3 linked regions of the Oryzias latipes genome follow. The protein of the gene in region 1 interacts with the protein of each later gene in a pairwise test. Links are inferred from orthologs where the notes say so. Each region holds a gene or a part of one and is shown in the gene's direction. Other genes may lie near its edges.

What was found.
Region 2: the proteins of receptor expression-enhancing protein 6 (region 1) and snx15 interact in binary tests that used the Homo sapiens proteins (3 or more experiments, as listed by UniProt). The two-hybrid records come from large-scale screens. The link is inferred for Oryzias latipes from reciprocal best matches to the Homo sapiens genes REEP6 and SNX15.
Region 3: the proteins of receptor expression-enhancing protein 6 (region 1) and ptpn9 interact in binary tests that used the Homo sapiens proteins (3 or more experiments, as listed by UniProt). The two-hybrid records come from large-scale screens. The link is inferred for Oryzias latipes from reciprocal best matches to the Homo sapiens genes REEP6 and PTPN9.

Annotation. Positions count from the first base shown.
Region 1 is NC_019862.2:22,294,125-22,298,756, forward strand, and holds the start of receptor expression-enhancing protein 6, read left to right. Parts: upstream 1-1,666; 5' UTR 1,667-1,750; coding exon 1,751-1,883; intron 1,884-4,442; exon of another isoform or gene 4,443-4,530; coding exon of another isoform or gene 4,531-4,561; intron 4,562-4,632. UniProt on the Homo sapiens protein: Required for correct function and survival of retinal photoreceptors. Required for retinal development.
Region 2 is NC_019876.2:12,559,628-12,564,259, forward strand, and holds the start of snx15 (sorting nexin-15), read left to right. Parts: upstream 1-1,573; 5' UTR 1,574-1,719; coding exon 1,720-1,818; intron 1,819-2,289; coding exon 2,290-2,446; intron 2,447-3,254; coding exon 3,255-3,370; intron 3,371-3,452; coding exon 3,453-3,720; intron 3,721-3,794; coding exon 3,795-3,968; intron 3,969-4,632. UniProt on the Homo sapiens protein: May be involved in several stages of intracellular trafficking. Overexpression of SNX15 disrupts the normal trafficking of proteins from the plasma membrane to recycling endosomes or the TGN.
Region 3 is NC_019864.2:10,370,876-10,375,507, forward strand, and holds the start of ptpn9 (tyrosine-protein phosphatase non-receptor type 9), read left to right. Parts: upstream 1-1,850; 5' UTR 1,851-1,980; intron 1,981-2,053; exon of another isoform or gene 2,054-2,128; 5' UTR 2,129-2,336; coding exon 2,337-2,369; intron 2,370-2,701; exon of another isoform or gene 2,702-2,796; intron 2,797-4,632. UniProt on the Homo sapiens protein: Protein-tyrosine phosphatase that could participate in the transfer of hydrophobic ligands or in functions of the Golgi apparatus.

The DNA of each region.
Region 1 (4,632 bases):
GTATTTGAAATACAGAGAAATCAATGTTTTTATGGTATGTAGCTAGTGAAAGCAAGGAAACATTTTTTTAGATCATAGACAGTAGGTTGGATTGTTCAAAAGACAAAGATTATCTTAATTTTGATATTCAGAAGTGCTCCACATTAGAAATGGACATCAACAACATTTGACCTATACTGAGTGGTTGGTGTCCATTAGGTCTGCACAATGAATCGCAAATTTATCGGTATTGAGATATCAAGCTTTGCCATTTCGAGGTGCTGTGCGAAACTACAATTCCAAAATCAAGTGCCCCAGAAATCTCCCAGAGGTCTCTGCGAAATACCATTGTGCATTGATGCTTACTTGAATGGCGAATGCAAACCACAACACACTGCGTTTGAACAACTTTTACAAAGAAAATTTATTTAAATGTATTTTTTAAAATAAAATATCAACGTTATCATCTTTAGAACACAGGGAATTCATGAATGGTCGTCGCAAAATGCTCATATTGATGAGATTTTTACTTTGTGAAATCCATGATGTTATATTTGCTGTAAAACAAAAAAAAGCAGTGAGCATGGTGTACGAATTACTCTTAAAATCCAGGGCACTACATAGTCCCGCACTATATAGTTTTTAGTAGTTAGGTATTAGAGAGGGAATTGAGACATAGCCAGTGTTTCTTATCATTTATTATTGGTGATATCAAAGTGAACTTTTCAATAAAATCAGGCCAAATAGGAAAAATACTCATGCAAATAAAAATATTCCTAACTTATTGTGAGTCTTGTAAGTAATCAGAGATGAGTGCTTTTTGCAGTAGAAGAGGGGTATATGGGTGCAGACCAAGAGGTGCGTGTTCCTTGGAACTGGAACACACTGTTGAACTTTCTCTGTGTTGTGGGCCTAAGGGCCGTGTCACACAGCTACTATGTACATTTTACACATTTTCCATGTATTCAATTTCTGTCTTTCGTGATGAATGCGCGAAATACGTAATTCGCTAGTGTTTCCTGTCATGTGTCGCTGTGCGCAGATGTTCGTCGAGGATGTTGGGCGATTGGCCTTTACCTGAATTTGGTTTTATGCTGATCAGAATTTTTGGTTAGATGAAAATTAAGCAGGTTTTGTGTATTTTACGAGGCTTGTACACAATTCAAGCGTAAATCTTACGCAATTGTGCATAGTTTTTGTCTATGGACTTTTTACGTACGTACCACTGAAGTATAACTTTTATATTGCGTATAGAGCACACATATGACGTTCAAATTAAGTAAATTAATGCATGGATTTTGGGCCATATTTGCCTTTTTCGTTGATTTACATGTTCTTTGCATGATTTATTTGTACTTTTGTGGTTTCAAAGTGGTTCAATTCTGATTCTCACTCTTTCCACGTGTATTCACGTATGACCAATTTTCATCTGTACAATGTGCGCAAAATGTACGTAATGGCTGTGTGACACGGCCTTAACTCAAAGAAATTCTTAAACACCCCAGTGACCTGCTTCCAATTCACAACCGTTGTGCGGATCATGACTCTTTGTTAAGATAAACCGATATACATATATATGTTGGAAATGACTTTTGGGTTTCATGACGGTCACAGCCATATCATTATCCACCTGCTCCTGTGCTCCTCCCCCTCCTCCTCCTCATCAAAGCAGATTGCTGCTGTCAGGGGATTAACGGCGGTTATAACTTCCTCTTCCCTGCAGGCTGCCTTTCCCTGACCCATTTTGCGCTTTAGCAGCTCTTCGAGCACCATGGGCTTGCTGGACATTTTTTCTTCCATCAAAGAACGGGCCGAAAAGTTTCTCAATGAGAAGAACATGGTGACCGATTTTCTGGGAAAGGTAGAGGAAAAGACGGGGATCAAGAAGAAGTTCATTGCCGCGGGTACGTAACGTGACCCCTTGTTTTTACTCTGTTCAGTTCAAAACGAACTCCCCAACAGATATTTCTACGTTGATTCTTCTTGAATTTAGAAGACTTGCATTGGCTAGCTGCAAGCTGATGGAAAACGGATGGGGATTCAGTTAATCCTCATGTGAAAAAAAGCTACCAGGATGCAAAACCAACTGTTCATATTGATCAGGACCTCCTAAGTTGCATCTGTATTCCATTGACAAATGGTTTCAAATTGTGTTTTTGGACTGTTTGTCATGGTGCGGGGTGGCTCGAGAGCCGGTAGGACCCAGTAGCAGAGGCGGAGGCACGAGGATCAGAGTCTAATGGATTTAATAAACAAAAACCAAACACAAAGCGCTGCAGAGCAGGATTTCTGAACAAACAAAGCTTACTTGACGTGGCGAGGAACATGAAACGTGGAATGTGGCAAGAGACAGCATGACATGAAACACCATGACAAGACTAATGAACCAGTACAGGAGGAAGGCAAAGACATGACTTAAGTACAGACAGGGCAGACAAGACACAGGTGAACACGATCAGGGCAGATGGGGACCAAAGGAAGTAAAACTCAAGAAAACAGACAAGACAGGAGAACTTTCAAAATAAAACAGGAAACAGAAACAAACCAGACAGAACAAGAACAAGGACGAAAAACAAGACAACAAACTCAAATCATGACACTGTTGTCCCAACAGTTAACGCAACATTCCATTGGCAAAATATGCTAGGCCTCTTTAATGTTTTTGTTTTGGTTTGATCCTATGGGCTTAGGTAAGCAAAAAACATAAATAGACAGCAAACTGCTAATAGATTTAGTTGACTAGGATACAACAGTATCACAATGCGCTTTGTCCCCTCGGGCATGTACTATTTTGATAAAAATCCCACTGAATGTTTTTTCCGCCTCTTGTAAACAATATGTAAGTAACCAATGGCAGCTTTATTAATAAAGTTTTGAGCACATACATTTTTAAACATGTGAGACAGAGCATCTCCAGTACTATTCCAGAAGGGTTGTCGATGACATGGGTGACCCTGATCCATGTATTGAGGTATGCTGCCATGCAGGAGACTGTTCCAAATGCAATGGTAATTTTTTGTTCACCTTCATTAGGTATTGATCACAACTGCCCTCAAAGGTGGGCAGGTGAAAACTGGGCACACAAATGGTTCAGTATGGAGTTAGTATGTGCACCTTACCGATGACTAGGGCACTGAACGCCAGCATTACCTGTTCGTCATAAGTGTGTATACTGTAACTCAGATGTGATACACTTACCACATGCACAAAAATGGTACGTTCCATTTTCACACTGTCCCTTGAAGTGGCCATACAACCCTCAGAGGAGGTGAAAAATCTGCACTCCCCTGCTCCTATCTGCAACTCTCCACGGGCCCGGACAACCTAAAAACCTCCATCACCTTTACGGTTCAACCCCCTGTATGCGTGGGTACAGGGTTTTCTCTGTCTGCTCTCTTTCTTACCCACAATTCTTTATGTCATTATTGCAGTTGTAGCTATAAGGTTTGTTGCAGGCAGAATAAATTTCCTTTCATCCCAATTTGAAGATGTGCATATTTTTTCTTTAACAAAAAGCATAGATGGACGCAACCAATCTTGACTGATCTTGAACATTTGGAAGGGTTCCCAGTCCTTGAATGGGAGACTGCGTTGGACTCCCTGGTTCTAAAACTTGGGGAACCACATGGGACGGGGGCACTCTCCAGTGTTTCCATGTGCCAATCAGAAGTCTGGGTAATGCAGAGGAGGTCAAAAGGCTTCACCTTTCATTGGCTGGGTAGGCTCCATCTTTCCTGTGATCAGGATAACATTCAAAAGGGGCCCAAGTCCAAGAGGTTTGTTTTTCCAGGAAATGATTTTAATCGCATAGCTTAAAGGGAGGCTACACCAAATGATTAATACTTTACCCAGATTTGGCACCAGTTCATAGCTTACAAATGCTATAATATGAAGCACCTCACTTTTATAACTTCAGAGGAAATTAAGACTAAAGTCTCTGGACTTGGGCCCTTCTTGAATTAAACAGGGGCTCTGCCATATTGGATAACTAGTGCTGCCATCTATGGGATGAAGCAAAACCCATGCAAGAGAGGCCCAAGTCAAGGAATTTTGCACTAAACGCATTTTAAATGTCAAAGCATTGTCAATACATTACAACGGACTTGGAACTTTTTTGCACATAATCAGATAGCTTTTCCTTTGAAGTCTATAGAACATGTAATATCTGTATTTTGAAAAATTGTGGACTTGGGTCCCTTTCGAACTAACCGATTCAATTATCTTCAACCAATCATCCATCAATTTTCTAAACCCCTTTTTAAGGATTGGAAGCTTGGTTTTAAGTTCTTGCCTTTGTTATTTCTTGATATTTTATCAACAAAAGAAATAGACTTTAATTAAACATAAGTTGTGTCCTAAGATTCCACTGAGTCAGATCTCAACACATCTCGTGAGCGAGTAACAGCAGTGTATTGAGGGTGCAGTGGGTCAGTGACACAGTGAGCAGGACATGATGTCAGTGTGGTGCCTGGCGCTCACCGTCTCCCTCTCTAAGCAGTGGTGTTAAATCAGATAATCCACAGGGACAGGCAACACGGCGGGGCGGCCTCCATGACTGAGCAGCAGTGTAAGCTGATCAGAGGTAGGTAGGTTGCCTAACCAGCTACCCGTGTTTCCGTTTGGAAAACATTATCTTGTCTTTTCTTATTTTCA
Region 2 (4,632 bases), on another chromosome or scaffold:
CCAGTCTGGCTGAAGATTTGTGCTTTCATCTCATTGTTTCAGGATCCTCACAGACAAAACTAGTGGACCCCGGGGGATCTGTCCTTTGATTTGCACCATAACAACTGCTTATTTATTTATTACTTTTCTTATGAAATGCTTAGTCAAAAAATGTACAAAGTATGTTGTAATAAAACTGCAATAAGTAAGACTGCATATGAGGGTGGATAATAAAAGGATTAGATTAGTTGTACTCGAGACTTTGAGTTTTTTGATGACTTGCAGGGTGCGGTGCGTCTGATAAGACTTTATGTGAAGCACTTTCACTTAAATTCACGAAGGGCCTCTTTCATCATATCCTTATATAACAATTATTTTTTTAGATCTCCAATTAAGAATAAAATTCCAATTTATGTAAGCTTGTATTTTTAAGCGTTCTGTAAAAATGACCCACATTTTCTTTCACATGAAGCATAACCAATTTCTTGATGTCTTTGTATTTGGCAGAGGTCTTAAAGAAACAAGAAAAGCTGGTCAACAATTTCCTGCACCAAAAGACCAGGCATGATACACCCAGACTTCAACAGTCCGTGTGTGACCATTGTACAAATAGTAAGTGTTTGCTTTGGAGGAATGTGTAGCAGAGTGGCGCAGCGGAAGCGTGCTGGGCCCATAACCCAGAGGTCGATGGATCGAAACCATCCTCTGCTAAGCTTTTGGTTTTTGTTTAACCCTCACAACACAGCGCCTGATGGAGACTTAAGTCATTAGATACGGTTAACTAAAAATTTAAATAATCAACAGTTAGAAGAAAAGTATATATTTTTTTAATTTTGGTATATTTAAAACATCTGGATCAATGAAACAACATACTTTAAGGCTGATCAGGCCATGTTAAGAATACAAAGTTGATGGTACAAAGTCCTGATTGTTCCAGGAGAATAAAAAGAAGCTTATATAGCATTGGGCAGGAAAAGAAAACCATGGGGGGAACTTCCTCGGCCTTGTAGTTTAAGTTTAGTCTAGACCGCTTTCTTTTATCTATTGTCTGGGTATGTCCAAGGCGTATTTCTTTGCATATTCGAGCAGCTTCCTTGATGCAGGACACGTTTGTTTTCCTGTCGTTGCCTAAAAACAAGAACACAGGCTTACTTACACAAACATACGAAAACAACGTGCATTTTTCATCTTCCTTTAGCTTTTTTCAGTATTTTTAAATTTCTGGCTCAATACCATCCCCTACAGGATTGTAACCCTCACTATACATGTTGAGTTCACGAAAGTGATGTTCTTTTTAAGTAAATTAAACCATGGTTAAGTTGAAAAGTCAGCATAAAATACAGTGAAATTATTTCATATTTATGAGAAAAATTAAAACCTCTCAGCGAAAAGGATTACTCGGAGAAGAAAAAAAGTAAATTTATTAGAATAGTACATTTAATATAAACATAGCAAATAAGAAATATCGTGGGTTATCAATGGTAAAAACGTGTTTCCAAATATTTAAAAAACACAAAATACATAGAATAAATGTTAAGCTTTCAAAAATTAAATAAAAGATATGTGTCGCGTTTTACGTACGTAATCACGCATGCGCGAACGTCACCAACCAGGAAGTTGTGAAAGAGGAGGTGCTGAAGAATCACAACAGAGCCGTTCAGCGCAGTGTTTTTGTGGATAGTTTTGCTTCGTTCATCTGCTTGTCTGATACTTTTTTTTTGGCTAGAACTCAGACAAAACATGTCAAAGAAACCAAAAGAAGAATATTATCGGTTCTTCGCTGTTAGCGAGCCTCGGACCCACGAGAAGGGTCACACGGAGTACAAAGTGACAGCCAGGGTCAGTGTCAATCATGCTCATCTTTAGCTGTCAAAGTTTTATTTTTTAAAGATATGTCCTTTGGCTATTTCTTTCTTTCTTTCTTTCCTAAGTAAGGTAATTAGGCTACATACGTTGTTTTTATTTGCAAGTGTGTGGAATCAAAAAAGTGTTGACACAGTTAAAAGCAAGTTTGACTTCTTTTCAGTCAGTTTTTTTCTGTAGAGATGAAGCACAATGAACTTCTTCTGTGCGATTAAGCCAGGGGGGAGGAAACTTGTGATTCTTTTCATGATCTCCCCATGACCACACTAATCCTCCTGTGCTCGACAAGTATGCTTTGAAAATCAGTCTAATTAAAAATTTGACTTTGAAAAAAAAAATCGGCCTTTTTTTACCCGCCACCGATTGTATTAAAAACTCCAGCTCTTTACGAAAAAATGATTTTTGAGCATGTAATAACGATTGAACCATCTTTTCTGGGGTTTGCAGTTTGTATCTAAAATTCATCCAGAGGATGTGAAGGAGGTGGCGGTGTGGAGGAGGTTCTCGGAGCTGAAGAAGCTCCACGGAGAGCTGGCGTTCACGCACAGGAACCTGTTTAGACGGCAGGAGGAGTTCCCCCCTTTTCCACGTGCGCAGGTTTTTGGTACGTTCTGCAACGATCACATCATTCATGATGGGCGTTAATAAAAATATCTGATATTTCAGCATCACTGGGAGCTGTAATCACCTCTTTTTCATTTTTACTTCTGTTGTTCCTGTTCTGCCTTTCGCTTTCTACATTACTCTTGATGGTGTGGCTTATTTTTGAATGCATGGTTGCAACACAGAGGATCCTGTCCACAGTAGCCTTAAGAACTAATTTAAAGTCCCACCTCTTTTGATCTGTTTTGAAAGATTTCTCAGTGATCTTTTAATTATGCTGTTTTGTAACGAAGTATATGAATACATTTTTCAAATGGCGTTTTTTTTTATCTACTCCTTATTTACAACAATTTGAATGAATACGTAGTCAGAAAAGCTTAACTTTCCTTATATATGTCCTCCATCATCTTAAAAATGCCAGAAGAATGTGTTAAAAAACACACAAAAAACAAAATTTCCATTAGAGTGGGTCTTTAAACATTCAGCTGGAATTATTTGGTTGCATTTTGGGGCCATTATGAAAACTATGAGGCAGAATTAAACTCAGTTAAAGAAATCGAGCTGCAAAACTGGCAATGCCTTTTTTTTTTTAAATATGTTTTTTAAATCAAATATCACATATCAGGAAAAGAACAAAAAAAATAGATGTATAAAAAAAGGCTGTTGTTACTATTTGTCTGCTTTGCCACGGCAACAACAGCCATGCTTCTTTGCCGTAGATGTAAATACCCAGAAGTTGTAATAATTGAATATTCTTTTACTTTTTTCAACATGCAGTAGTAAAGTGTAGCTTGTGATTTCTACTTCAGGGAGGTTTGATGAGGCTGTGATTGAGGAGAGGAGGAAGGCAGCCGAGGCCATGCTTCAGTTCACCACCAGCATCCCTGCGCTCTACAACAGCCCGCAGCTCAAGGACTTCTTCAGAGTGAGGACACAGATTCACACTTTCACTGTCTCATATCCCCCTCCTCCTCCTCATTTCTCTTCCTTCATTTTTCTTCCCTCAGGGGGGTGAAGTCACAAGGCCCCTTGATCCCTCCCCTCTGTTCTCGGCCGGGGCTCTGCCTCCCCCTCTAATTCCCCTGCCCAAGCGGAGGGCTTCGGATTGTGACCCGGCTGAAGAGGAAGAGGGCAGGGAGGCCCCCACTTTACCCCAAGATTTGGGCACCAACTTGAGCTTAGAGTTGGGGGAGCCGGAGGTGGCAGCCGAGGCGTACGTTGAGGTCGGAGGAACTCCCAGAGGAGAAGAGGAACTTAGTGATCTGGAAGAGCGAGGTACGAGACTTTAAACGTTATTTATTTACTATTTTTGGTAGATTTTTGTTCTCATCTTCTGTCCGTTTGTCCAGCTGCTTCTCCTGAAATATCTTCACCAAGACGCCACCAACCAGACGGGACCCACGAGGAGTTCGATTCCCTGTTTGACTCAGAGGCAGAGGAGAAAGTCCCATCTCCAAAGGAAGAGGGCCCCCCGCCTCTGTCTGATAACGACTTGGCGGTTTTTGATCCCTGCTACACACAAGGTCAAAAACACAACACCTCTGGGCAAAACTTGAATGCTTTTATGAATGAAAATAAGCATAAACAGGAAGTCCTGATTATCTTCTAGCTTCCCAAATCCAAGCTTTTATTTGTTAGGCTTCAGCTTTGCTAAATATTTGGGTTTTTTGTCGCCGTTTTGCATTAATCTACTTTAAAAAACGGAGTCAACATTAGCTCCAAAACTTCAAAATGTCATTAAATTAGATTTATTTATTTTCCATTAAAAAATTCACCTTTAGTATCAGCTACAATTTTAAACTTCCCATCTTATCGCCTCCTAACTCCTTGAGCATCAATGGAAAGCTACTGGAAGAATTTAGTCGATTTTCAGAGGTGCTAGCACGGGGAGCCTCCATAAGTGGCGTTCTCCTGTTGCCCACACATTTGCCACCCAAATATTGTAAAAGAAATGAATACATGAATGTAATACTGGCTCAAGTTGAACAAAATGATACAGCAGATGATACAAAACAGATTAGGAATGTGGACCTCAGTTGCCAAGGAAATCCCAAAATGTGCTGTCACTTAAAATGACACAGACCGGTTCGTCACCGCCAGGCGACCAAAAGATAAAATGGTTTTTTTTTATGGAGATTTAACCAACAGAGATGCTGCCATTAAAAAACAACAACATGCAGCTCTGAC
Region 3 (4,632 bases), on another chromosome or scaffold:
ACACAGAGAAAAGCAATTTTACCTCAGTAAAGCGTTTGCTAAAGTGTTGCATATTGGAGCAAAGCTGCTTTTCTTTGCAACAGAATAAGCTGATTGATTGCGTGATGCTGCGTTCACACGAGGCTCGCAAACCTGTGCTCAAGGGGCCATTTCCAATGAAAGGTCTACGTAAAGGTGCATCTATGCGCATTTTGGGCTCCGTGACCAGATTTCTATGACATTAAGTCTTTCAGATACCGGATAGAGCTGTGAAAGAAAAAGCCTGAAGCCCGCTGGCCCCCCCAGCCTGAATGTTTGATTGACAGATTCTCCCGAGGCCAAGTTCACTCCTGATTAGCAACGGTAGTTGCCCTGGAAACGTGACTCAAGCTGACTGGCTCCAAATGGCGGCGGACGTATCGTGGAAAATTAGGGACTGAATAAGCTTCATTGTGCTGGAGCCGGATGTAAACCATTGTCTACGGGTGACATCACAACCGCTCTGTCCAGTGAATTCCTTCACTACTCACTACATAGTGGACTATATGGCGTGTTTGGCAAACACCGTTTGCCGTTTTGTAGTGCCGTCCAAATCTACAATTCCTAAATCCAGTGCCCTAGAAATTTCCCAGAAGTCTCTTCAAAAAACCAGTGTGCGTCGATGCTTACTAGATTGGAAAATGTAGACCACAATGCATTGCGTTGGAACAATTTTTGCAAAAAAATTCATTTTAATTTCTTTTTTAAATGAACCATCAACATTTTTATCTTCAGATGACAGTGGACTCATAAATAATCGTCGCTAAACACTCATAAACGCTCACCTTTTTCATTAGGTTTAGCTCTCTGAATGCCTCAGCCCCCCCCCCCCCCCCTGCCTCCACCACACCTCCCCCCTGCTCCTGCTCCCTCTCTCATATCACCTCTCACCCTCATGAACCCCCCCACACCTCCTCACCTTTCACCCCCCTCTGCTACACCAAACCTATTGGGCCCACAGTTCATCACACCACCCCCCTCCCTCCCTGTTTCTCTGTAACAGCCTGCCAGGTGAAGAAGCAGCTGGAGAAACTTAACCAGCACAAAGCAGCCGGCCCGAATGGCATCAGCTCTCGAACACTGAGGACCTGTGCCCACCATCTGTCTGCGGTTCTCCAGCATCTCTTCAACCTGAGCCTCAGACTGGAGAGGGAGCCGCTCCTCTGGAACACCTCCTGCCTGGTCCCTGTACCCAAGAAGTCATCTCCATCTCACCCCAGTGATGTCCGTCCAGTTGCCCTCACGTCTCATGTGATGAAGGTGCTGGAGAGACTGGTTTTGGCTCAGGTGAGACCGTTGGTGAGCTCTTCTCTGGACCCTCCTGCAGTTTGCCTACCGACCCCGTCTGGGGGTGGATGATGCTGTCATCCATCTGCTGCAGCTCACTCACTCACAACTGGATGGTGGTGGAGGCATGGTGAGAATCACCTTCTTTGATTTCTCCAGTGCCTTTAACACCACCCAGCCTTCTTTACTGGGTGAGAAGCTGCTGCTGATGGGTGCCGGTGCGTCCACCGTCTCCTGGATCACTGACTACCTGACAGACAGGCCACAGTTTGTCCGACTGGGCGGCGTCCACAGGGACTCTCTGAAAGGTTTAGGAAAAGCATGATGGAGGCCCTTTACAGGTTGAGGGTAATCATGTTTAGTTTCTGTCTGTTAACAAACCTAAAATGAATGGTTTTTATACTTATTTCAAATGTGTTCAGATATTTGTTTGTGTTTGTAGCTGCCAGCCACCAACAGTTCTTTTTGTTCCGTCTTTTTCCATTTTTATGAATGGAGGCAGGGTCACTTGTAAAGTTCCGTTCGGAACCGCCAGGGGGTACAGCAACATGCGGAAAGAGAGGAGTAGAAAGCCTCTCGCGCAGCATAAAGGCGACGTTCAGAGGCGAAACCTTGCGATTCGTGGTATGGAGCAGCCAGCGGGTGGCTGCAGCCCTCTGATCTCTGTCAGGCTAGGTGGGTGAGACGTGTTTCATCGGTTCAAAGCCAGTTATTATCCCCCGAGTTGAAGCAAACCCCCAGCTTTCAGCCCTGTGTTCTTTGTTGTTTTTTTCCCTCCTCCTCTTCGGGTGAAATCTGACACATCAGCGGCTCTCATCTCTAGTTTGGATGCTGATTCATGCTAATTGGCCTGCGTGGATAGCAGCAACACATTTTCGGAGGGGGAAGAGGTTCCACTCAGATGTCGTCGGCTGTGAAGGAGCCCTAAGCCTCGACTGTGACACGAGGAGCACGCGCGCACAGACATCTCCCACTTTATGAGAAGGAGGACGAGGCTGTAGAAAAAGGTCATCGGAGAGCTGACGGGAATCATGGCAGCTACTTTATCGGCGGAGGAGGAACAGGTAGGCCTCCGCAATGTTTTCGTGGGAGATTAACCTGGAGGGATGTATTTTTTATTTTTTTTCTCCGTGCCGACTTTGCGTCCGAGCCGCGATATACGTGGTGCGCAATAGTGGTTTTGTTGCTGGGAGGGGAAAAAAAAGTCCCGAGAACGAAGCGGAAATATTGTATCGATTTTTGGTGCATTATCGCTTGAGTTGCATCACTGACGGTTCCTGTCCAGCGTCTGGAACGAGGTGTGGAGCCAGCGCCGCGGATGAGGACAGTTTCATCTGAGTTACAGAGCGTGACATGACCGGAAATCATTATAGAGGAAGGGTTACCGCGGACTCACATCTTCGCGATTGGGTCACTCAAATGTTTACACTTGAAACTTGAAGAAAGCCTGTAGAGTTATGGTGGTTAAAGCGCTGTGACGCATTAAATTCGGTAACTTTTTCACCCAAATCTATTCTATACTATGCTAAAAAGTATTATTTAATGTCATCAAACGGGTTACAGAGCAGTTATTTATGAACTAAAAGACCAGTTCTGTCAACTTTTCTCTGTTTGAGTCGATGAGAAAACCGTCGATTTTTGAAAAAATATTTAAAAATTGCACGTTTTCGTTTTAGTGAACATGAAAACGTTCTCAATAACTTATTAGAATAAGCAAAAGCCGAGAAACAATTAAATTTAACTGGTAATTTGGTCGTTGTTTTCATTCCAAATGAAAGGGAATTATGGGAAATTAATGAGTCGACACGTTTCAAACCAGTTTATGAGCTTTCCAAACCATTTTCTTGCCTGATACTGTTGGCTCTCTCATAGCTAATAATACATTTATTGAAATTGGACAGTGCAACTTCAAAACTATGCCCGATTATGGTTAGAAAAGTCAGAATTGGCCAAAAGCTAGTTTTTGTCTGTAATCCTCAGCGAGTTTATGCTTCCAGATAAATTTGACAGGTTCCTGGTGTAAAGATCCATATTTATTTTTTTAAAATTGTTGCATTATTGCTAGAATAGTTTAATTGATTAAAATGGCTCCTGTGAACGCCTGTCAGCAGCTGTGGGAAGAGTTCATAGAGTTGAAGGCCATTTGTTTTCTTCAGGTGTACTCTGACATGTCTGCAGTGTCTTCTCTGTGCCTACTCTTCCTGCTGACTCTTCATCATCTGGCCAGCAGAAAGTGCCTTATCTGCCTATTCCATTTCCTGTGTGAGCCGAGGGCCCCTGCTTCAGAACCGGACGCCCTTATTACATCCACAGCCTGGGGAGGGAGGGAAGCGGGGGTAGTGGTGGTGCTTGGTTGGATTGTGTGTGTAGCAGCCTGGCTCCCCTGTGACCGTACTGTTGTAGTGGAACTTCATTCTGAATGCAGCTGTTAAAAGTATTTCCACTAGACGTGGGGGAAGGGGAACCGAGTGTGTGTCTATCATGTGCTCAGAAAGTGTGTGTGTTGTGTCTACTCCTAGGAAGTGGTAGAGTTGGAGAAAGTGGGCAATAGGGAGACAGTGAACGCGTTTGACTTCCTGTTTGACTCGTGCCAAATGGGACTGGGTGCAGCCATTTGGCAGCAGCTGTCCCACATTTGTAAATGGATCAGCATGGCATCTGTAATCAAATTGATCCGCAGAGGCGCTGTTGAAGGGAGCTTCAGTGATAAAGAGCAAGAGTAGCTTAGTCTGCAGGATCAAGGTGTAGTCGGCTCTACCTCACCCAGGCCACTGGATGTAATTTGAGACCGACGTGGCGTGGAAGAGCTAGTGATTAAAACGCACACACATATGTTTCAACAGCTTTGAAAAGAACCCACATCATCAGGCGAAATGTATGCTTTTTATATGTTGTAACTAGTTGGGTGTGCATGCATGCTCAACTGCAGCTCGAATAGAAAGGGGTGGGTTGAGCAGAGCATTAAGGGCGTGGGTGGCTAAAGTGTAGGCGGTTTTCAGGGTGATATATTTCTTAGTTTAGGGCAAAAACTAAACATACAGATGACTCACAAACTGGAAAGAATAGATGGGGTTAATTATAAAAAGGTTAAATGCTTTGTGCACATCAATGACTTGTATTCATGCCTTTGTAACATACAAGCAACAGCGCAGAAGAGCTGAGGGTCAACTGTAGATGGAATCAAACGCATCTTGTTTTTATTGTCATATTGGGTAAAAAATAATATTTACATTTGTGGTGTAATAACTAATAATCTCAGCCTCATAGTTTGCATGCCATCTTTGTTATCGGTATTACTCGACCCCCAACTGTCTGTTCCTGGGTTTG